Sus scrofa: one gene and its partners. The protein of the gene in region 1 interacts with the protein of each later gene in a pairwise test. Links are inferred from orthologs where the notes say so. Each region holds a gene or a part of one and is shown in the gene's direction. Other genes may lie near its edges.

The links. The genes of interacting proteins can lie anywhere in the genome.
Region 2: the proteins of SPTBN1 (region 1) and CEP63 interact in a two-hybrid assay, tested with the Homo sapiens proteins (2 studies listed by BioGRID and IntAct). The link is inferred for Sus scrofa from reciprocal best matches to the Homo sapiens genes SPTBN1 and CEP63.
Region 3: the proteins of SPTBN1 (region 1) and SH3BP5 interact in a two-hybrid assay, tested with the Homo sapiens proteins (2 studies listed by BioGRID and IntAct). The link is inferred for Sus scrofa from reciprocal best matches to the Homo sapiens genes SPTBN1 and SH3BP5.

Annotation. Positions count from the first base shown.
Region 1 is NC_010445.4:86,587,126-86,594,628, reverse strand, and holds part of SPTBN1 (spectrin beta chain, non-erythrocytic 1), read left to right. Parts: exon of another isoform or gene 1-662; coding exon of another isoform or gene 663-677; exon of another isoform or gene 678-3,551; coding exon 3,552-3,790; intron 3,791-5,228; coding exon 5,229-5,402; intron 5,403-7,265; coding exon 7,266-7,308; intron 7,309-7,503. UniProt on the Homo sapiens protein: Fodrin, which seems to be involved in secretion, interacts with calmodulin in a calcium-dependent manner and is thus candidate for the calcium-dependent movement of the cytoskeleton at the membrane.
Region 2 is NC_010455.5:75,690,774-75,698,276, forward strand, and holds part of CEP63 (centrosomal protein of 63 kDa), read left to right. Parts: intron 1-3,470; coding exon 3,471-3,585; intron 3,586-4,970; coding exon 4,971-5,168; intron 5,169-6,819; coding exon 6,820-6,906; intron 6,907-7,503. UniProt on the Homo sapiens protein: Required for normal spindle assembly.
Region 3 is NC_010455.5:2,517,866-2,525,368, reverse strand, and holds part of SH3BP5 (SH3 domain-binding protein 5), read left to right. Parts: intron 1-5,462; coding exon 5,463-5,627; intron 5,628-7,503. UniProt on the Homo sapiens protein: Functions as a guanine nucleotide exchange factor (GEF) with specificity for RAB11A and RAB25. Inhibits the auto- and transphosphorylation activity of BTK. Plays a negative regulatory role in BTK-related cytoplasmic signaling in B-cells.

The DNA of each region.
Region 1 (7,503 bases):
TGGTCACCTCTGTCTGGGTCATGGTCTGCCCCGCTGGGATGCAGAACGTGGCAGGGGTGTGACGGCTCTTCTGGGCACATCTAGGAAGCCTGCTTACCAGACTTCCAGGCCCTCTCCGTTCAGTTGATGACTTCAGGGTGTCAAACTCTTAAAATTTTTCCAACAAATGGAACAGAAGCCATTCTGGTTCACCCTGATTACTTGAACGATGCACTTGGTGGACCATCCCAGGAGCCAGGGCATGCCTCCCGGCTCCAGAAGTCCTTTCAGTGTCTTTGTAGACAGAAACCCCATTGTATGTCTCATACAGATCTTCCGATTCATTTTTCATTTTCTTACAACTTTTTATGGAGCTCTCTGATGAGGAATCTTTTAGGATGGCATTTATCAGACCGCCAGCAGGGATCGAAGATGCTTTAACAAATTCTATTCCTTAGGAATAAAAGCTAACACAAGAGGTGATTTCCTGGTACTGATAAAAGCAAAACCAAACCAAATCCATATTACATCAAAGCCTTGTGAGACATTCACTTGCTCATTTGCCATATTTAGACGTTAGTGGAATCAGAAAACCTGTTGTGATATGTGTTCTCCATGAGTTAAGTCTAATTTGTCTTTTCATTTCATGATGCATGTCTTTTTTTTTTTTTTTCTTTTGTCAGGATAACATCATATAGCATCTTGTTTGTTTTTTTCTCATTTCTATGTACATATCTATCTACTTGCGACTGTAGATGGGTATATAGATAGATGCCAAGCTTCTTATGTTCTGGGGGTAGTATGCACCATTACTGGGTCTCTGCTTTGAAACACACCAAAATTCATTTTCAAAAAATACGGCTTCATCCTTGGTCATTAGGGAGCCCTGACATGTATTTCTGGCTCTAAATTATGTGTCATTGATTTATATGTATATATGTGATGTGTCCATATATATATAAATTTTGTATCATCAGGACTGATAAACAATTTGATGTTTTTTGTATTCAGAAGACCAAAACCAAACCAAAAAAAAGCCACATAAGCACACAAGAAAGGTGTGCTATTATGTTTGTGGCATTTGTCGTCATACCTATTTTTGTCTAGATTTTTAAATTGTAGCTTGCCAAGACATGTTTTTAATTATAATTGGATTGTATCAGAAGAAGAAAAGCTCTTACTCTTCTGAGTTATGGTGCAGAGACTCAAGTTAATGAACTTGAAAATAGTGTTGCTTTGTGCACTTAGAATACCAATCAGGTGTTTCTTGTGCTACTAGTTGTCACGTTGCATTTCTGTTCACCTCCTGATTGAAATATCTCAGGTGTACCCAGCCACTAAAGCATTCTGGACTAATCGCTAAGGAGAAGCAACGTGGGGTGGGGGCAGGGGCGTATCCACATGTACCCACTGTTTGGTCACAGCACTATGATTTGCTTTTGATGTTTGTCTCTAGTGGTGTGTTGTCTGTTGGCATGCTTAAGCACATGTCCATTAAAATTCATTTTGTTCCTTTTATTTTCCTTGTTTTCTTGGTTACTGATTCATTTGCATAAACATTACTCATCTGTGCATTACTGGTTTGGGGTTTTCTCTTTCCTTCTAACTCTAAAGGAAAAAAAAATTTTTGCTGCAGAATTTCCCCTAGAAGAGGCTTCCCCTGGCCTTCACCTACCTTGAAGTCTGACCAAGTATGACAAATTATAGCATTCTTCCAGTAAATCTTCCTCTGTCCAGGTCCTTGCTGTCACTAGCAGTTTTCGAGTCACACCTGCAGCACTAATTTTTTTTTTAACCTGGTTTCTATACACACTAACCCCATGTCTCCCTGGACTCATGCCTGGTACAGGCCTTCCAGACCAATCTCACACTCGCTCCCCATCAGAAGTTTCCTGAAACCTCCCATTAGAACAGATTTGTCAACTTTAAAATCCACTCACTTCTTTTTGACTTAAGAGTTTTGTGTTTTGGTTATTATTCCCCCCTCTGTCTCTCCTTTAAAAGTGAAAGGCAAGAGAGAAATATGTAAATAGCCTTTTGCTCATAAGCTCATGTCCACAGGCTGTCACTTGCAAGTCCAGGATACTCACCAGGCATCTCCTGCCCTAAGAATCCATTTTTTCCCATTGCTCTGTGGATAAAGAGTCCTAATCAAAAGTACCCTTCAGTTGCATAGCCTCTAGTCTCACCTTGAGCCCTGGTGCTAACAGTGATAGTTTCATAGACAGAATAAAAACTTGATCCCCACCCCACCCCTTAGAGAAGATCTAATGGAGCGACCCAGTTCCTGAGAATTGACATCTGAGTGTACAAGCAGAGGTGGCCCTTCTGCCATTGGTCCTGTTGAGGTGGTTGCCGCTAATTTGGTGTCACTTGGCTCCGGGCAGCAGTGGTGGGGGATGTACCTAATGAGCGTGCCATTGACACCTCCATGTCTGTCCGTGTATGAGGGGTGCAGGTCGTCTGTAACCCACTAAAGCGTCAGCCACACCCAGCTTTAGTAACTCGCTAATCCCACGCCCTGGGTGTATCAGCCAGGGGCCGCTCCAGTTCATGGTACCCAGTTGATGGCACACAGGCTGAAAGCGATAATGAACGGAGACCCTGCTGCATTGCCCAAGCCGAAAAGCCAGGAGGGTTACAATATAAATGAGCTTGGGAAGGAACAGCTCCCGAAGACGTCTCCAGCCTGGAGGGTCAGAGCCGCTGGAGGCCTGGCTGTCTGGGCTTTCTCGTCTCAGTGCAGCAAGGCACCGTGATCAACCAACACGTGATGGGGAAGGCCCTGGTTCTGTCTTTGTTTGGGGGTAAATAGCCGTGTGGTGTTGAGTGACTGTGATTGGCTTTTCCAGCTCCTTTAACACAAACTACAACCCACTCACGATACAACTTGGGCAGATGTGGTTACATTGATGTTTGTTGACTTGCCTCATTTCCTTCCAGCTCTTAAGTCCCAAAGTCTAACGGGGATGGTAGATGTGAAGTGCATGATTGCCGTCCTAATTTCTGCATGTGTTTATGACGATGTGTCGAGGGGTGGGGGAGGAGAGCCGGAGAGCATTTTCAGAAAGCAGAGGTCTTTCTTGTCTGACTTTGGGGGAATGCTGTGTAGTTCTGATAGAGTTATCTATCCATCTGTTTGTGAATGCCCTTTCGCTTCAACTTCCAGCCCTTCTGGTGGCGTCCTTGGTTGTAAGGTGGCTGCTGTATAACGTCCGCTCTCATATTTAATATGTGTGATTGTTATCGTTGTCCTTTTGTTTTAAAGTAACCTTAAGAGGAAATGATCTGAGTTCTCTTAGAGAAAATGGATTGATCAGAGGAGCAGAGTGCAGTAAAACTCAGCCTAGCATTTCGCTTTTCTCATTTCCCCGTAAACGGGCGGGTATTAATCCATCCCCACCTTCTAATGTCCCTGGTGTCCAGCTGGCTTTGTGGGGTGTGCGATGGTTTTACTGTACTGCCTCGATCTGTGCCAGGCATTTATACACAGCCACGTGTGCGAGTCAGAGCGTATGTGGTCACCCCCGGGGCTCACGGGGTCAGCTGAATGGCCTCTCCGCTGTCCCTAGATGGCAGAAACGGTGGACACGAGTGAAATGGTCAACGGCGCCGCAGAACAGAGGACAAGCTCGAAGGAGTCCAGCCCCATCCCCTCCCCAACCTCCGACCGCAAAGCCAAGACCTCCCTCCCTGCCCAGAGTGCCGCCACCTTGCCGGCCAGAACCCAGGAGACGCCCTCGGCCCAGATGGAAGGCTTCCTGAATCGGAAGCACGAGTGGGAGGCCCACAACAAGAAAGCCTCAAGCAGGTAACAGCAGCAGAGGCTGAGGTGGTCCCGTGGGAGGTCGGCTCATTAGAGGTGGCGGCAGGCCGCTCCTGCTTGAAAGGGGGGCGACACTGGGGAGTGGGCATGTGGCACTTTTTATTCACGGAGAGAAGTGGGAGTTCCGTGTGCGTGGAAGTGTCAACAGGAGGCCTTTGTTCTCCTGAGAAGGAGTGCTCTAGATTAAGGTGCAGGAGTGTTCCCTGGAGTGAAATGACTTCACTGTTGCTTTCTCTTTGAGGGGTGTTTTAGCACATTCCCCACTTCCCCTCCCTTACCTCCATATCCATCTGTATATTTGTTATCTCCCGGTAGCCTTCCTTGTATTGTTTCCATTTACAAGTGAGAAAAACAGAAGCTCTGAGAGGTTAAGAAAGCTCACCTTGTATAGTAACGTAGTAAATGGCAAAGCTAGGGTGAGACTCATCTGACTCTACAACCTGTGTGCTTAACTGGTAAGCTAAACTGCCTGGGGGGCCAGCATGTGTGGTTGTCCATGTTGTACACTGTACAAGGAAGTCCCATCTGAGAGCTGCCATCCACGTTGAGGACAGTATGGACTTATTTGCCAGTACAGTTGGGTGGCAGTAAAGTGCCTTGTTCTAAGAAAATCAGAATATCCTGGCCATTTGCCATGTCATGGGGAAAAGCCTACCTTTTTCTAATTCAGTGCTACCATAAGTGCCAATGGCCCTGGATCTGCCTCCCTGTCAGGTTGCCAGCCCACATCAGAGAATGAAGCTAAGGCTGAGGAGCTGCTTAAGGACAGGCATGTTACCAGTAAGGAGCCTGGCCTGTACCCCATTACCACAAGAGGGTGCTGCGGCAAAGAGTACCAAACACCAACCAGAATTTTTCCCGTCAGAGCCAAGAGTACCTTTATTTAATAAAAGAAGGCACTGTGTCTTTCCTCAAATTCAGAGTGAGAAACAACCCTCAAAAGCCTGCCACCATAGCAACAGGTGCCTTGTCTCAGGCAAACACATAGGAATAAAGTTCCATTGTTTCTTTTTTTTTTTTTTGTCTTTTTGTCTTTTTGCTTTTTCTAGGGCCACTCCCGTGGCATATGGAGGTTCCCAGGCTAGAGCTGTAATTGGAGCTGTAGCCGCCAGCCTATACCAAAGCCACATTAACGTGGGATCCGAGCCGCATCTGTAACCTATACCGCAGCTCACGGCAACGCCAGATCCTTAACCCACCGAGCAAGGCCAGGGATCGAACCCGAAACCTCATGGTTCCTAGTTGGATTCATTAACCACTGCGCCATGACGGGAACTCCTGTTGTTTCTTTTTTAGCAGAATTTAGGAAGGACTTTTAACAAGAAATCAGAGAATGTTGTGTGGGGATTATTTTCATCTTAAACTCTTGGTTCTTGAAGGGAGTGTGCAGCAGAACCCTGACGTCCCTTTCTTTACTGCTCAGGTCCTGGCACAATGTTTACTGTGTCATAAATAACCAAGAAATGGGTTTCTACAAAGACGCAAAGACAGCTGCTTCCGGAATTCCCTACCACAGCGAGGTCCCTGTGAGTTTGAAAGAAGCCATCTGTGAAGTGGCCCTCGATTACAAAAAGAAGAAACACGTGTTCAAGCTAAGGTGAGGGTTGTCAGAGTGGGTGTGTGTTCATTTTCACCCTCGGGGATCGTTTCCTTAGACGGATGCTATCATCCATCGGTTCCTCTCTCTCATTTAAAATATCACTGATAGGAGTTCCCTTCATGGCTCAGTGGTTAACGAACCCAACTAGGAATCATGAGGTTGCGGGTTCGATCCCTGGCCTCGCTCGGTGGGTTAAGGGTCCAGGATTGTCGTGAGCTGTGATGTAGGTTGCAGACATAGCTCGGATCCCGCGTTGCTGTGGCTGTGATGTAGGCCAGTGGCTGTGGCTCTGGTTTGACCCCTAGCCTGGGAACCTTCATTTCCTGTGGATGCAGCCCTAAAAAGAAGAAAAAAAAAATCACTAATAAAGCAACAAACTGGATAGACACACACCTTGGTTAGGATGCTGGGCATTGTGGCCTGACACCAGCATATTGGTGGTTAATGGAACAGCTGAACACTGAAGAAAAGGAGCTTTCACTTTCAGAAGCTGGAATTTAGTGTTTCCTAAAACATGGTGAGCTGTTCACATTTCACAGTTTAAGGGAAGCTTAGAAAAACAGCTTCCCCATCTTTGCAGTTTATCCAGACCCAGGAGATGCTGTTCTTTACTCGTGACTTATCTGGAGATGGGTCAAGTGAGTCATCCTGGAGCCGGATGGAGACAAATAGGAAGCCGGGGTGGGGTGGGGTGGTGGTGGTGCTGTGCTCCCCTGACCCAGCGGCTGTTCCAGATGGTCCCAGAGGCATCTGGTTCCAAGTATCTCTACCCTGTAGAATACAAACAGCCCCCCACAAGAGAGGATCCAAGCTCAGGAGTTCTGCTTATACTTGGAAATGGAAAGAAAAAAAAATCAGTTTTTTTTTTTTTTTTCTTTCTCTTGCTTTTTTGGCCATGCTTATAGCATATGGAAGTTCCTGCCACAGCAGCAACCTGAGTCACAGCAGTGACAATGCCAGATCTATAACCCACTGAGCCGCATGGGAACTCCCAAAGTCAGTTCTTCTTTAAAAAGAATTTAAAAAGTAAACATGTTAGTGAACATGTTGACTGGTTGCTTTGGATCTGAAAAGGTTGGGTCCTCAGTTTCATGTGTGTCTCGTGCCAGCTGGACAAGGCCAAGGACCTCGAAGGAGAGCAGTTCAGATGATGTGATGTCTTGAGCTCTGTTGACAGGCATATGGGCTCCAAGGGACCTGGGACACCTTACACACTTTAAGGCCAGGAGCAGATGGCCAGCCTCCCTCTTTGTACTTTCTTGATGCAGCTTCAGAGGGTCGGGGTATTGACGAGGACACCAAACCCCTGTGTACCCACAACACCCCTTCGTCTTGACTGCAGCAGTGAACTAGGGTACCTTCCCAGCCAGTGGCCTTTCTGGGTGGTGACCATGGCCTCGCAAGGGCAGTTTCTTCCATTCTGAGACATATGTGAGGGAAATCTAGGAGACTTTTTCGGTGTCAGTTTCGAAAGTATGGTATTTGTAAATGTGGCAGATGTAAGTTCAGGGCAGAATTTCAAGAGGGCTCAAAAGCTTTTTAAAGAGCTTTCTGTTACATTCAGTTTAAAGCAATGATCAGACCCCCAAGTAGTCTTAGCCACGACGGATCCAGGTGTCGGTATGCCTGGAACTTTTTTGATCCTTCCCATGATTGAACCACCCCAGTACCTGTGTCTCATGGCCCAATTATCTGGCTTCTTGAGGTCCAGGGGCGGCTGCTGGGCCCCAGCGGACTCTGATGGGCATTGCTGGTATGATCCCTGTGACCTGCTTGGATCCCACATAGGATATGCCGCCGGCTGGGGGAGATTTTTCTCTTAAGTTATACTGTGATTGACTTTCTTCCTTCCAATTACAGACTAAATGATGGCAACGAGTACCTCTTCCAAGCCAAAGATGATGTAAGTTTCTAAGATGTATTTCTCTCAAATACTTGGCTTGGGTTTGTGGGACGATGAGCTTTATTTCTGATGGCCTTCACATAAGTGATGACCCGTGGTAGCTTCTGTCCTGAGGAGGCAGCGAAGATCATCTCACTGTCCTGGCGGGGGAGCTAACACAGTCCCTTGAAGTGCCTGGGAACGAACTGCCCTCCC
Region 2 (7,503 bases), on another chromosome or scaffold:
GATAACTTTATGGGGGTTCCCTTAGAGGTAACATTCTGCTTTTCTCCTGCTGCCTTTAGGATCCTCTCTTTATCATTAACTTCTGCCATTTTTATTATAATGTGTCTGCCATTTTTATTATAATGTGTCTTGGGTTCAACTTGTTTGGGGCCCTCTGTGTCTTGAACTCAGTATCCTTTAGATTTGGGAAGTTTCCAGGGATAATTTCTTCAAATATATTTTCCATCCCCTTACCTTTTTCTACTCCTTCTGAAATTCCTATTATGCATAGATTGGCCCACTTTATATTATCCCATAGGTCTCTTATATTGCTTTCATGTTTTTTCATTTGGTTTTCTGTCTACTGACCTGATTGGGGGATTTCCATTATTCTATCTTCCATATCACTAATTCGTTCTTCTGCATTATTCATTCTGGTTTTTACTGCCCTTACTTCAGTTTGTATCTCTGCAAATGGATTTTTTAGTTTTTCTTGACTCCTCCTTATATTTTCTAGTTCCTTTCTGAGGGTGTCTGCATTACTGTTCATATCTTCTCTTAATTCCTTCAGTATTTTCACTATTTCTCTTTTGAACGCCAGGTCTGTCAGACTGCAGAGATCTGTTTCATTGTTGACTGCTTTAGGTGAGTTCTCCTGTTGGTTTAACTGGGGGTGGTTTCTCAGCTTCTTCATCTTGCTTGTTGTTTTCTTTTTCCTGGTGGAGTTGTATTCTCCGTGGCCAGGCAGTATTTGCCTTGGCACTGCTGTGGAATGTTTCCTGAGGGCTGGCGTTGTTGGTCAGTCTTCTTTGAGGCAGCATGGTTTTTCCAGAGGGTGGGCGGGGCTGACAGGGTCTCTCTAGGCAAAGGAGGACTTCCTGAGGGCAGACAGGACTGGGAGGTCCGCACCATGATGGGAGCAGATTTCACTTGGCTGGGCAGAGCTTGCTCTGGTGTTTTTGGGCTGTGGGGCTCTTTCAGGGGGCTGGCGGTGCTGGGCAGCTGTTCCATAGGAGTGCAGCACCCCCCGAGGGCTGAAGCAGCTAGCTGGGCAGCTCAGAACCCAAGAGGCTCTTCCCCAGGGCAGCCCGACTTGGAAGGACTGCCTGAGAATGGAGGCAGATTTTTCACAGCCTGGCCGAGCTTATTCTAGCTTTTCTGGGCTGCAGACCTTTTCCCAGCGGCTGCCAGTATTGGATGCTGCTCTGCGGGGGTGTAGCCCCTCTAGAGAGCAAGCAGGCCAGGGCAGGGAAAGCCCCTGCAGTGGTAGGCTTCTGGCAAATGTTGAGGCCAGCCCTCCAGGATGGCAGGCAGCCCTAGGTCCAGTGCGCACGTGAGGGGTAGGGGGAGGGGGGATGCACTGGGAAGCACAGCTTTCTGATAGCTGGTGGGCTGGTGAGCTCGCTGTGGCATGGGGAGTATTCTATGGTAGCCCACCCCTTCTTCTCTCCCCTCCCCAACACTGGTGCCTTGTCTCTCCTGCAGATCCAGTTCTTCTCCCAGGTTCCCTCTGATGTGGCTTTCCACTTCCCAGCCCTTAGTGTATTGCTCCCTCCCCCTGCAATGCTCTGCTTTCTAGTCTCCCAAACAGTCTCTGCCCTGTAAAACCTGACAGACTGGTTACTAGGCCCTCCCCACAAGCAGTCTACACACCACCCACCCCAACCCGTTCCAGGGGACTAACCTCCGGAGCCGAGGTCTCTCTGCCCAGCCCCGACCCAAGCGTCTCAATTTTTGGTGACTGTGCCAGTAGTTCAGATGATCTGTTCGGTTCTCACTCTGCTTTTCAGAACTCCGACTTCCTGCTGCACTCTTCTCTGTATCTGGAGATTCCTCCGATTGGGCTGATCTTTCCATCGAGTAGGTGACTTTCCAGGGTGTGGGATCCCTTTCTCCTCCACAGTTCCCTTTTGGGAGCACCTATCCAGCTCGGATTCCCCTTCTCTCACTCTCCTCTTTTCTCTTGTTTTACCCAGTTATGTCACGAGATTCTTGCCATCATTGGAGTTTAGGTTCTTCCGACAGCGATTGATTGCTGTTCTGTGTGAGTCGCTTAACCTGTAGATGTGTTTTTGTTGTGTTTGTGGGAGAAGGCGAGTGTGTCCCCCTACTCTTCCGCCATCTTGCCTCCTCCCCCCATTTATTTATTTTTGTTTTTATTGCCATTACTCTAAGAGGTGGATCTGATAAGATATTGCTGTGATTTATGTTGGAGAGTGTTCAGCCTATGTTTTCCTCTCAGAGTTTTATCTGGTCTTATATCTAATTCTTTAATCTATTTTGAGCTTTTTTAAATCTATTTGGGATTTATTTTTGTGTATGGGGTTTGGAAGTGTTCTAATTTCATTATTTTACATGTTGCTGTCCAGTTTTCCCAGCACCACTTATTGAAGGGGCTGTCTTTTCTCCATTGTATATTCTTGCCTCCTTTGTCATAGATGAGTTGACTGTAGGTGCACGGGTTTAATTCTGGGCTTTCTATGCTGTTCCACTGATCTATATTTCTGTCTTTTTGCCAGTACCACACGATGACTGTAGCTTTGTTGTATAGTCTGAAGTCCGGGAGCCTGATTCCTCCAGCTCCATTTTTCTTTTTCAGAATGGCTTTGGCTATTCTGGGTCTTCTGTGCTTCCAAACAAACTTTAAAATATTTTGTTCGAGTTCTGTGAAAAATGTCCTTGGTAATTTGATAGGGATTTCATTGAATCTGTAGATTGCCTTGGGTGGTATAGTCGTTTTGACAATATTGGCTCTTCCAGTCCAAGAACATCATATGTGTTTCCATCCGTTTGTGTCACCTTTGATTTCTTTCATGAGCATCTTATAGTTTTCAGAGTACAGGTTTTTTGTCTCTTTAGATAGGTTTATTCCTAAGTATTTTAATCTCTTTGATGTGATAATAAATGGGATTATTTCTCTAATTTCTCTTTCTGACCTTTCATTGTTAGTATATAGAAATGCACTTGATTTCTGTATTAATTTTGTATGCTGCAACTTTGCCACATCCATTAATGAGCTCTAACAGTTTTCTGGCAGGGTCTTCAGGATTCTCTAGGCATGGTATCATGTCATCTGCAAATAGTGATAGTTGTACTTCTTCCTTTCCAATTTGGATTCCTTTTATTTCTTTTTCTTCTTAGATTGCCATGGCTAGGACTAGCAAAACTATTTTGAATAGTAGTGGCGAGAGCGGACATCCTTGTCTTGTTCCTGATCTCAGCGGGAATTCTTTCAGCTTTTTACCATTGAGAAAAGCTGATGTTAGCTCTGAGTTTGTCATATATGGTCTTTATTATGTTGAGGTAGGTTCCCTCTATGCCCACTTTCTGAAGGGTTTTTATCAGAAATGGGTGTTGGATTTTGTCAAAGGCTTTTTCTGCATCTATTGTAGGATATTTCTTTAGACATCAACAAAGTAAAATAACTTGATTTCAGTGGTTTCAGGGTTTTCATTTTGTTTTAAATACATAATTTTATTTTTGTCTTACAGCTTGGAATCTGTGAGTGCTACATGTAAACAGCTGAGCCAAGAGCTAATGGAAAAATATGAAGAGCTGAAGAAGATGGAAGTGCATAACAATGAGTACAGGGCTGAGATTAAGAAGGTAAAGGTCCACATGCCTGGGATTGCAGAGCCCTGAGTGTTTACAGCCTGAGCTGCGGGTTGGAGATTACAGGAGTATTTTTAAGGAGAGAAAAGTGTGTAGTGCAGAGCCCATTTGATGCTCAGGAGTAGAGAGTACCTGAAAGGTGCTTAGGAGAGTGCCTTCTATGTCATCCTCAGGGATATGCTATGTAAGTATTTTCCAGATAATTGAAGCCTGCCCCCTTTGAACTCCAGTTATATTTTAAACATGTCTTGATGAAAAGTTTTCTAAAAGATACACACCTCAGAGTTCCCATTGTGGCCCAGCAATAGCAAACCCGACCAGTATCCACGAAGATGTCAGTTCGATCTCTGGCCTCGCTCAGTGGGTTAAAGGATCCGGGGTTGCCATGAGCTTTGGCGTAAGTCACACACGTGGCTTGAATCCGGAGTTGCTGTGGCTGTGGTATAGGCCAGCGGCTGTAGCTCCAATTGAGTCCCTAGCCTGGGAACTTCCACATGCCATGGATTCAGCTCTGAAAAGACGAAAAGAAAAGATACACACCTTGCATGCACAAACACATTATGTGAGCTGGCATTGAATATTTTCTTACTGACTGAAGGTGATGATGAGGGTGTGCTATGGGTAGTTATATCCGAAATGGCGTATGACGTGTGCAGAGTTTATCTCTATGTTAATGGGTCCTGGCTGTTGACTCAGATTTTTTATTACTTCTTCAAGATTACTTCTAGCCCCTTTCTTCTTCTGTTATCTTCTATGGACTATGAAACCATATAAGCAAAAATTTTAGATTTGCAGCTGAAAAAAGAATGAAGGTTACAGGAGCTGTCCTCTAAACAATGTATACTTGGGCTTTAATACTGGTTCTCAGCACTTGAGTAACCCATCTTTCCCTGTTTTGTTTTGTTTGTTTGTTTATTTTTTCTTTTAGGGCCACATGTGTGGCATATGGAAATTCCAGGCTAGGGGTTGAATTGGAGCTGCAGTTGCTGGTTTCCGCCACAGCCACAGCAACACAGGATCTGAGCCACATTTGCCACCTATGCCACAGCTTGAGGCAACACCAGATCCTTAACCCACCGAGTGAGGCCAGGGATCGAACCTGCATCCCCATGGATTCTAGTCGGATTCTTAACCTGCTGAGCCACAAAAGGAACTCCCCATCTCCCCCTGTTTTAAGATCTAATAACTAATTGTGGGTATAGCCATCTGACTTTCAATACAGATATGCAACTTGGTAAACTTGCTAATTTTCTACAGATTTAATCAGGGAAATTTATGTCTTGAGGTAAGGTAAAAATTACTTTGTTATTTTAACTATTAATGTATTTTTCTGTCTATATATTTTCTCTCAATTTTTCATGCTTTCTATTTCTTTGTAGTTGAAAGAACAGATTTTACAGGCCGAACAGAGTTATAGTTCTGTCCTAGAAGGAATGAAGATGGAGATTTCCCAACTAACTCGAGAGTTACATCAGCGAGATATCACTATTGCTTCCACCAAAAGTTCTTCATCTGACATGGAAAGGCGACTTAAAGTAGAGATACAAAAGGCAGAAGAAAAAGCAGTAGAGCATAAGGTGAAACTTGGACTAAAACTTTTTTATTTTTGTCTTTTTGTCTTCCTAGGGCCTCACCCATGGCATACGGAGGTTCCCAGGCTAGGGGTCTAATTGGAGCTGTAGCTGCTGGCCTACACCACAGCCACAGCAGCACCATATCTGAGCCTCGTCTGTGACCTACACCACAGCTGCTAGCAACGCCGGATCCTTAACCCACTGAAGGAGGCCAGGGATCAAACCCCCAACCTCAAGGTTCCTAGTCAGATTCATTTCCACTGTTCCACGACAGGAACTCCAGGACTAAAACTCCTTATTTGAAGTTTGTTTTTGAAGATTCGGTTTATTAAAAGTATAATTTCCACAGTATTTAATTCAGTAAATTTTTATTAGTCCTCTTCTTCAGGTTGAGGGTGGGCTGGTTTATCTAGTGAAGATCGGTGGGGAGGTAAGAGAAGATGCTGATACAGACACGTGATGAGACAGTTTCTGTGGTGTGTAGTGAGGGTGAGCCATGTTCACTGAGACAGACTAGAGCTCAGGCAGGGCCAGTGGCAAGGGATGAGACTGGAATGCAGGGATCAGCTCCAGAAGGGCCTTGCCAACCTGTGCAGGAGTTTTCGTGTTACCTCGAGGGCCTGTAGAAAATGACATTAAGCAGGAATAAGAGGTCTCTGTGGCTGTCTTGTGGAGAATAAGCACGGAGGCAAGGAGACCACTTAGATTCTATCACAGCTGCAAGATGGTGGCCTGAGCAGTGTACATGGGAGACAGAGGGAAATGGATGAATTCTGGAGATACTTGGCTGGTAAAATGGACTGGTCTTTGTTCAGTTGATTGGACAGGAAGAATGAATTAGAGTTAGGGAAAGATGTCACTCAGGATTCCAGCCTGGGCAACAGGAATAGAAAGTGATGCTTTTTAGTGAAATGCAGAAAAGATAGGGAGTAGGTTTGGGCAGGATAATGAATTTGCATCAAAGGTATACAAAGTAGGGAAGTTGGCAGAGGGGACATTGGTTTGACATAAAGGCTGGACTTTCATATGGAAATATATAAATTCTGGAGTCAGTTCTCCAGAAGACTTGGATGGAGTTCAAGATTAAAATCAAGGTAAGACATTTTGCATGAGGTCGATGTTTGAAACCCTGGGAGAATTAGAGGATTATGAGAAAGCAGAGGGTATGAAGAGGAGAGACTCGCACCAAACTTAGGAAACTACTCATTTAGAGTAGAAAGGTGTTGGAATGGAGCTAAGAAGAAAAGTAGCAGTAAGGAAGGAAACCACATAGTCCTTGCAGGAGAAGCAGAAAGCTAAAAGTAGGGATGGTCAAGCAGAAAAGCTAAGGAGAAAGGGCACTAAAAATAAGTTAGTACCTTTTGCAAGGAGTGTAGTCCACATGCTGTTGGAGGTAGAGGCCAGTAAGAGTAGGCGACACAGAAGTGCTTAGGGAGTTAGGAGTGCCCTGTCATCATGTTAGAATAATGTTCCAATTGGGTGCATTTTAAGTCATTTTGAAACACCTTTTCAAAAAGCATTTTAGAAATCATTCGTATATATGCATGAAGAATATAACTTCACTTAATGAAAATTACATGTGGAAAAATTATATAAGATGCATTTGATTTAACTGATTATTTTATCTATTATTTTTTCTATTTTCCCTTCTCAGGAGATTTTGAATCAGCTGGAGTCACTCAAATTAGAAAATCGTCATCTTTCTGAAATGGTGATGAAATTGGAATTGGGTTTACATGAGGTACGTAAGTAGAAACTAAAGTTTTTCTACTATCCGAGCCTTTAAGAAATCACTTTGTAAAGCAAAAGTTCAAATCAAATTGTGAAATGCTCCTTCTCCAGAAACTTTCTCAAATAAAAAGAAGTCAAGACACTTGATGGGGGTGAGCAAAATATGACTCTCCACTTCAGCAATTGGAAGATTTTTTTAAATATTATGTAATAAAATATGCGTATAGTCTGTATCCTTAATAGTGAGAATGTATATAATATATATATGTCTAGCATAGTGTCTCGCATTTAGTAAGTGCACAGTAAAGGTTAGATGCTATAATTATTACTGTAATTATAATGTTTATAATATCTTTTCATTATGAAGTGTGTCAGCTTTTAAATAATTTGGTTTCATATCATATCTATCTTATGTTTTTATAAGATATGTCATTTTAATCAAACATAGTAGAATCTTTTATGTTCAGAGTATTTTAGTAAATAGTGTAATGGACACAGGGATGAATTAAAATAGGACTCTTGCCTTTAAGAGATTGAGGGTAAATCACAATGAAAATTAGAATATTTTAAACTGAATAATGTTGAAAATATGTCATTCACTTTTGGG
Region 3 (7,503 bases), on another chromosome or scaffold:
GACATAGAGAGCAGACTTGTGGTTGCCAAAGGGGGAGGGTGGGGGGGGGAGGGAAGGATTGGGAGTTTGGGGTTAGCAGATGAAAGCTGTTATATGTATATGATGGACAAACAGCAAGGTCCTACTGTATAACACAGGGAACTATGTTCAATATCCTGTAATAAACCATAATGAAAAAGAAATTTTTATGCATAATCGAGTCACTTTGTTGTACAGCAGAAATTAACACAACATTGTAAATCAACTATACTTCAATAAAAAAACCAAATGTTTGAGAACGCCACTTGTGTCTTAGCAGGTTAAGAACCCGATACTGTCTCTGTGAGGATGCAGGTTCCATCCCTGGCCTCGCTCAGTGGGTTAAAGATTTGGCATTGCTACAGTATAGGTTGCAAATTTGGCTCAGATGTGGTGTTGCCGCCGTTGTGGTGTAAGCTGCAACTGCAGCTGCTCTGCGTTGACTCCTGGTCTGGAACTTCATATGCTGCAGGTGCGGCTGTTTTAAAAAAAAAAAAAAAAAAAAAAGAACAAAACAAAAACATGTTTTTGTCCAGAATATCCTCAGGGTCAAAATTGCTGATGCCCATCTCTGGCTACTCTTCCATTAACCTCAGACAGCTTTGAAAGGATGTGGCAGGAGGAAACTTTCAGAATCGAAAGTCTTAGACTCTTGCATTGCTCAGAGCATAGGACAGTTCGAGTAAAGCTGAGAACGACGCCCTGTCTCCTGCCCACCTTGATATTCGTCCTGGACATCCCCTCCTTGCTGGGGCCATCAAGGGTCTTTCTTCTTCCTTAGACGGCTTGGAGAGGCATCTGGGACTTTTCTCCATGGGCTTTGAGCTGGGGGAGGAGGCACAGATACAGTTTTAGCAAGGTTGGTTTGTTTGTTTTTGCTTTTTAGGGCTGCACCTGTGGTATATAGAAGGTCCCAGGATAGGGCTGAATCAGAGCTACAGCTGCTGGCCCACGCCTCAGCCACAGCAACTCGGGATCTGAGCCTAGTCTGCGACCTACACCACAGCTCACAACAATGCTGTATCCTTAACCCACTAAGCAAGGCCGGGAATTGAACCCACTTCTTCATGGATACTAGTCGGGTTCATTACTGCTCAGCCACAACAGGAACTCCCACGAGCAGCTTTTAATGCTTTTTCTATAAAGCTGTCTCTCTGAAAGCCGATAGCGCTCATGAGTCATGAATAGAGTTGACATTTTTCCTGTGTTGCATCTTATAGCTCAAGCCCAGCTCTGCCAGCCTTTCCTCAGTGCGGTGCCAGGCAGGCCTCAGCTCTTGCTACCTGGGTTTCCCTGCCATGAATGAGCCTCTGGGCTATGTTCACACCCAGGAGCTTGCAAGTATAGGTCTCTTATCCAGATAATGCATTAATACCAGGGCCTGGGTCCTTTGTTGGAGTTGAAGGTACAACATCACTGATTGTGCCAAAGATTTCATATGATGGAGAGAACTAGGTAGCCTGCTCTTTTCTGGACTCTAAACTAGCTTCTGAATTTCTAAATTGGCTCTGTCATGCATCCTGTTAGGTCCCTGGCAAGTGATCTCCAAGCCAGGCCTCCTCAGTTAGACATGTGTAAGCTCTTGGATGCTCCCTGTTCCATGGCCAAGCCTGGTGCCTGACACCCTCTCGTCCGAGGACTCTTCCCTTTGTCTAAGAAACCTGAGACAAGTTACTCTCTCTTTCTGATATTCCCATGTGCTTTACTCCTCTGTCACTTGTTGCGATCTTGTTTTGGAGTTTGTAATGAGCATTCTGCTTACCCAGCTGAGTCAGAACCCCTTATTTTGGTGTGGACCCCTCCTGCCCAGAACTTGGCATTAAGAGCTTCCTCATCAATGCTGAATGGCCTCCGTCCTGCTGTGGGGGAGAGAGGGCATGCTCCCCTCCTGCCCCTTGTGTGCGCATGCCTGGTCCTTCCTCGTGTGTGTGGCTTTAGAAAATGTTTTATGAAATGCCTTACAAAGAGGCCATGATCTTTGGAATTCTTTAGGAAACCCCCTAAAGTTTGTCTCCTTGGGCTTAATAGTCATAGGATGGGCTGTGAGCAGCCAGAAAGAAGTTGAAGGAGATTTGACCAGTCTATGTAGACTGCTGTAGTCATGTCTGTCAGGTTTGCAGAGTAGCTCATCTGAGGATGAGAAGGTGTATTATCATTTAGGTTGGGATTTGACTAAATATAACAGAAAACCCCAAATAACACTGGCTTAAACATGAGATTTTATCGTCTCTGTCCTGTAAAAAGTCAACTTAGGGCAGGGACCTAATTTACTATTCCTTCATCCTTAGAGTTGCCTCATGATCCAAAATGGCTGCTGAAGCACCAGCCATTGTATTAATATCACAGATGGAAAGACAGGAGGAGTGCTCTTGGAAGTCTCACTCAGTGTCCGTTTATATTTCATTAGCTGAAAGTAACTAGCTATCATGACAACTGGGAAGTAGGGTCTTGGCTGGGACATTGCTTCACCTGGAGACATGAGGGCTCTGTTACCAAGAAAGATGGAGAGAGTAGAGAGTAGAAACAGAACAGATGTCCAGCACTTACTTGAATGAATGGATGGATAAGTGATAGATGCCATCTGGCTTCTGTAGATTAAATATAGACCAAATCCTCATATTAGCAGGATTCACAATATGACAAGGAAGGCACATTTCTGATACCACAGGAGGGAAGGAACCTTGTGGAAACTTCACAAACTCCGCAGGAAGTTGACAGATCATGTTCTTCCAGGTCACTTCAGACGGGCCTCCTCTTTTCCCTGTTTGTAGGGACATGGTTTCCTTGGAATGCAGCAGATGCATGGCAGTGGGTGCGGAGGGGCTGGGTTCAGGTCACAGCAGCCGCATTCTAGAAAGTCCCTACGAGAGCATCTTTTTTTGTTGTTGTTGTTGCTGCTGCTTTCTTGGAAGAAAAAAAACTTCACAATCCAAGCAGGGAGACCTAGAGAAAGAGTTTAGCCTTAAATGTTGCTGAATTGCAATACTAAAATTTTTTTTAACAACTACAGATCCCGTCTCAGAAAATGGTAGACTCCTGTGGGGTTAATTATGGCCCGCTGATGCTTGTTTGAAGTTTGTGGGTGGTCTGTGTGCAGTGGGGGGAGGTGCCCTCCAGCACAGTGGGGCAGGGGGGGCCTTGAGGGCTGTCCTCCCATGGAGGAAGAGCAGTGGGCCTGGAGCCCAGGCTCTGGAGCATTGAGTGTGCTGTCCAGTGTCTTCTCAGGGCACATGTCAGTTCTTGAGGGTGGCCTCTGGTCCCCACTGTGTCACTGAGGCGCACCTGCATGGTCCCAGGACCACATGAGGGGTCTGCAGCAAGCAGGTCTCATGCTTGAAGCTTTAGCCTGGCTTTCATTCAAGGCCTCCATTCTTTTTTTTTTTTTCTTTTTTGTCCTTTTTAGGGCCACACCTGCGGCATATGGAGGCTCCCAGGCTAGGGGTTATATCGGAGCTACAGCTGCCAGCCTTTGCCAGAGCCACAGCTAAGCCAAATTCGAGCCACATCTGCGACCTACACCACAGCTCACAGCAATGCTGGATCCTTGACCCACTGAGCGAGGCCCGGGATCAAACCCGCAACCTCATGGTTCCTAGTCAGATTTGTTTCCACTGCGCCATGAGGGGAACTCCTCAAGGCCTCCATTCCTGACTCCCTTTTGACACCTTGATGGGAGTCTTTGTCAAGCCTTCTGCAGACAACCTGGTTAAATATTCTGTTCTTCCCTGCTCCCCTCCAAGCCGTGTTTTCAGATCATCCTGTCTCCAGGCCTCAGTTCAGTGTCATCTTCCTGTAAGAGGTCTCCCTGGATTCTCTCCACGGAAGGAATTTCTCCGTCCCCTCACTGTGTGACTTTTTTTTTAGTGACCACACTCACAGCATATGGAAATTCCCCAGGCTAGGGACTGAATCTGAGCCACAGCTGTGGCAATGCTGGATCCTTTAATCCACAGGCCAGGGATGGAACCCACGCCTTCTCAGCAACCTGAGCTGCTGCAGTTGGATTCTTAACCCACTGTGCCACAGTGGGAACTCCTCATCTTATTACTTCTGAATGTCCATGCCCGGTTCATCTCCCTGACTGGGTTGTCGTCACCTGAGGGTCGGCTCAGGCGTGACCCAGTTACAGGGTCACTGAAGGATGGAGGGGGCACCCACAGGGTCACACAGCTGTCCCTCGCCCTGGGGGCTGATGGGCTCCAACTGATTTTGTTCCTTTTAACTGTCTTTGGGAAGTGTCCTGGGCCTGTAGTTTCTGAGAACTTCCTCTCAGTCATATGAGACTTGCTCTGGGGATGGGTGGGGGCCCTATTGTTCCCTTTGCCTCTTGAGTCCCAGGGACAGCCCCTGGGGTGTCCCCAGTTTATGTAACTGACTTAGGGATCCAGTTAGCCGAGGCAGTTGGGTAGGAGGCTGCAGCAGACCAGCATCTGGCACGGCCTTGCCTGAACTCTGGTGAGGAGTTCAAGGTGGGCCTGCCAAGAGCAGTGATGAGGGTTTGTTGCCAATTTCGGATGCAATTACATGGTCCACTTTTGGGGGATGTGTTTCTGCTGTATAAAAGCAATGGAATGTGAGTCAGCTATGAACTTACTGTCTTCTAGTTGTCCCAGTAAAAATTGCAAATAGGAGGTGGAATTAGTGTTAATACTTTAACCCAGTATGTACAAAATGTCATCATTTCATCATGTGGTCAACATGGACATTATTAAGGAGATAGCTGTTCTTTTTCTGGACTGAGCCTTTAGTAAGTCTTTGAAATGTGGAGTGTTTTCCATTCAGTTTGGATTCACGTTTTCCTTTCTTCCTAGGCCAGGCTATCGGCTGTCGTTTCGGTTGATTCTCCCACTTGACGTTCCTTGAAAGCAGGGATGGTGTTGTGACAGGGCCTTCCCTCCACCCATCCCACCCACCACTGGTGTCAGCCCGTGTGATTGGAGTGCGAGCCTCTCTGGCAGAGTCACCACTCCGGGGGTGGGACCCGGAGCTGCTGGAATCTGGGCTCGGCTCTGTGAGCTCAGGGCAGCCCCAGCCTCTGGGAGCCACGGTTTCCATTCAGAGTGACACCGTTGGATGGTGCTGTCTGGGGCCTTTCTCGTTCTCACATGGGGCTGGGGAGCACTGCCACCGCTGACCTCATTAGCAAACGAGAGCTGCTCTAGGAGGGGCCCCAGCCAGCTGTACCTGCCGCATGTGGGCTGGGTTGCCGTCTCCAATCCTGACCCAGAGCTGGCATGTTTATCTGGTCTGTTGGGTCCCAGGCTGTGAAGACCCTCCACTCCCTCCACCCAGGATCTACAAGGACCTGCAGGTGCCTGGCCTATTCCCAGGCTGGACAGGCACAGGAGGACAGGACCGGGCCAGGCCCTCAGGAGGGCAGGATGGGCCAGCAGCAGCAGCAGCCCCTGCTGCGTCTGGTTCCTCATGAGCTTTCTCTTGTACAGGCACAGCTGGAAGCCCAGAGAGCCACCCAGGACTTCCAAAGGGCCACGGAGGTGCTCCGTGCCGCCAAGGAGACCATCTCCCTGGCCGAGCAGCGGCTGCTGGAGGATGACAAGCGACAGTTCGACTCAGCCTGGCAGGAGATGCTGAACCACGCCACCCAGAGGGTAGGAGTCATGCTGAGTGCACCTGTGGTGCCGGGGGCTGGAGTAGGGGGCTGGGCTGGGGTAGGGTGCTGGGCTTGTGCCAGCGTGTGCACGTATGCATTGCGCAGGCGTAGGGGTGGGGGTCAGGAGGCTGGGTGGGTGTCTGTGTCAGGGGTGCCCACACCCGTGGGTTATGGTGTACCCAATGGATCCCGACTCCTTGCTGGTTGCTCTGAGCAGAGACGCCTTCCCAGGCATGTTGTACACCATAGGTGGTCATCTCCACGGGGTCTCTGCAGGCCTGGGACTAAGCCGTCGTGGGCGATGACAGTCACCCAGTGTCTGTACCCCTTCCCCATCACTTGAGGTGCGTCTAGTTCAGATCACCCCTGATGGTTCTGACTGGATTAGGCTTCCCAGGGGGACGAGGTCATTCCCCAGGGTCCCCTCCGAGTCCTGGGGGACTGGCCAGGTTTAGAGTGCCAGGTGGAGGACCTGGGTTACTTTGCTGGGCCTGGACTCACACATGTGTGCTGTTGGTGAAAAGTAGGGTTCCTGGTAGATAAAGCCAGAACCAAGGGGGTTCGCAGACTGGTCTTCGGGCTGGGCTGAATCTGGGGAGCCAGCGTGTGCACGGAAAGTGGGCTGTGCTGTATCTTCATCCGGTTTTGACGCCTGTGTTTGGTGCCAGCATTTTCTGGCCCTTTACAATCTCCCAAGACCTGCCCCCTGGCCACATAGCTCAGATCAGAAGTGATGGGGACAGCACTTGGAGCAACTGGACATGTCACTTCTCCTGTCCCTCGTAGGCTCCTGGGCGTTCTCCTGCAGCCTGTTTCTCCTTACACCCTGTCTCCCACCCCCGCCGTGTTTGTTGCAATGGGGTGAGGGGCAAGGCGACACATGGCTTCTGTAGCTCCAACTGAGGCCTTGGATGGAGGGTGAGGGAGTGGGTGGGGGCTGTAACCCTCGTCTGGACTCCCCAAGAGGCTGCCTTGCAGGGCTGGAGTAGAAATGTCAGGAGTTTGGAGTTCCCGTCGCGGTACAGCAGAAACAAATTTGACTGGGAACCATGAGGTTGTGGTTCAGTGGGTTGGGGATCCGGCGTTGCTGTGGTGTGGGTTGTAGATGGCAGCTTGGATCCTGCGTTGCTGTGGTGGCAACAGCTCCGATTAGACCCATGGCCTGGGGACCTCCATGTGCCATGGGTGCGGCCCCAGGGGGACAAAAGACAAAAAAAGAAAAAAAAAAAAAAGAAATGTCAGGAGTTGGAGTTCCCGTTGTGGCTCAGTGGAAATGAATCTGACTAGTATCCATGGGGATGCAGCGCAGGTTTGATATAGGCCTCACTCAGTGGGTTAAGGATCCGGTGTTGCCGTGAGCTGTGGTGTAGGTCGCAGATGTGGCTCGGATCTGGCAGTGCTGTGACTGTGGGGTAGGCCAGTGGCTACAGCTCCGATTCCACCCCTAGCCTGGGAACCTCTATGTGCCGCAGGTGCGGCCCTAAAAAGACAGAAAAGAAAAGAAATGTCAGGAGTTGATGCCAGAGGCTCTCTTTTCAATGTCACCTACAGTGGCTCAAGCCCTTGGGGACCTGAGAGTTAAAGATGGCCTTGTGATTCCTTAAATAGAATGCCTGACACACAAAGACTTAGACTTGGTGTCAAGTCTCTGTTGCCTGTCCCACCTCTCCTGAAGCCCGAGGCTCCTGGCCAGGCTTGCATGGCCTGGGGACTCCTGCCCCCTAGTGGACAGGATGCTTAGAGAGCCAAGCACAGACTGGTACAGCTTTCCTGGGTCCACTGGGGAAATACCAAAGGGAGATGGGAAATCTTAGAAATCTACAAGCCTGACATGTGAAAAGGACAGAGAAAGAAGGAAAGGAAGACGGAAAGAA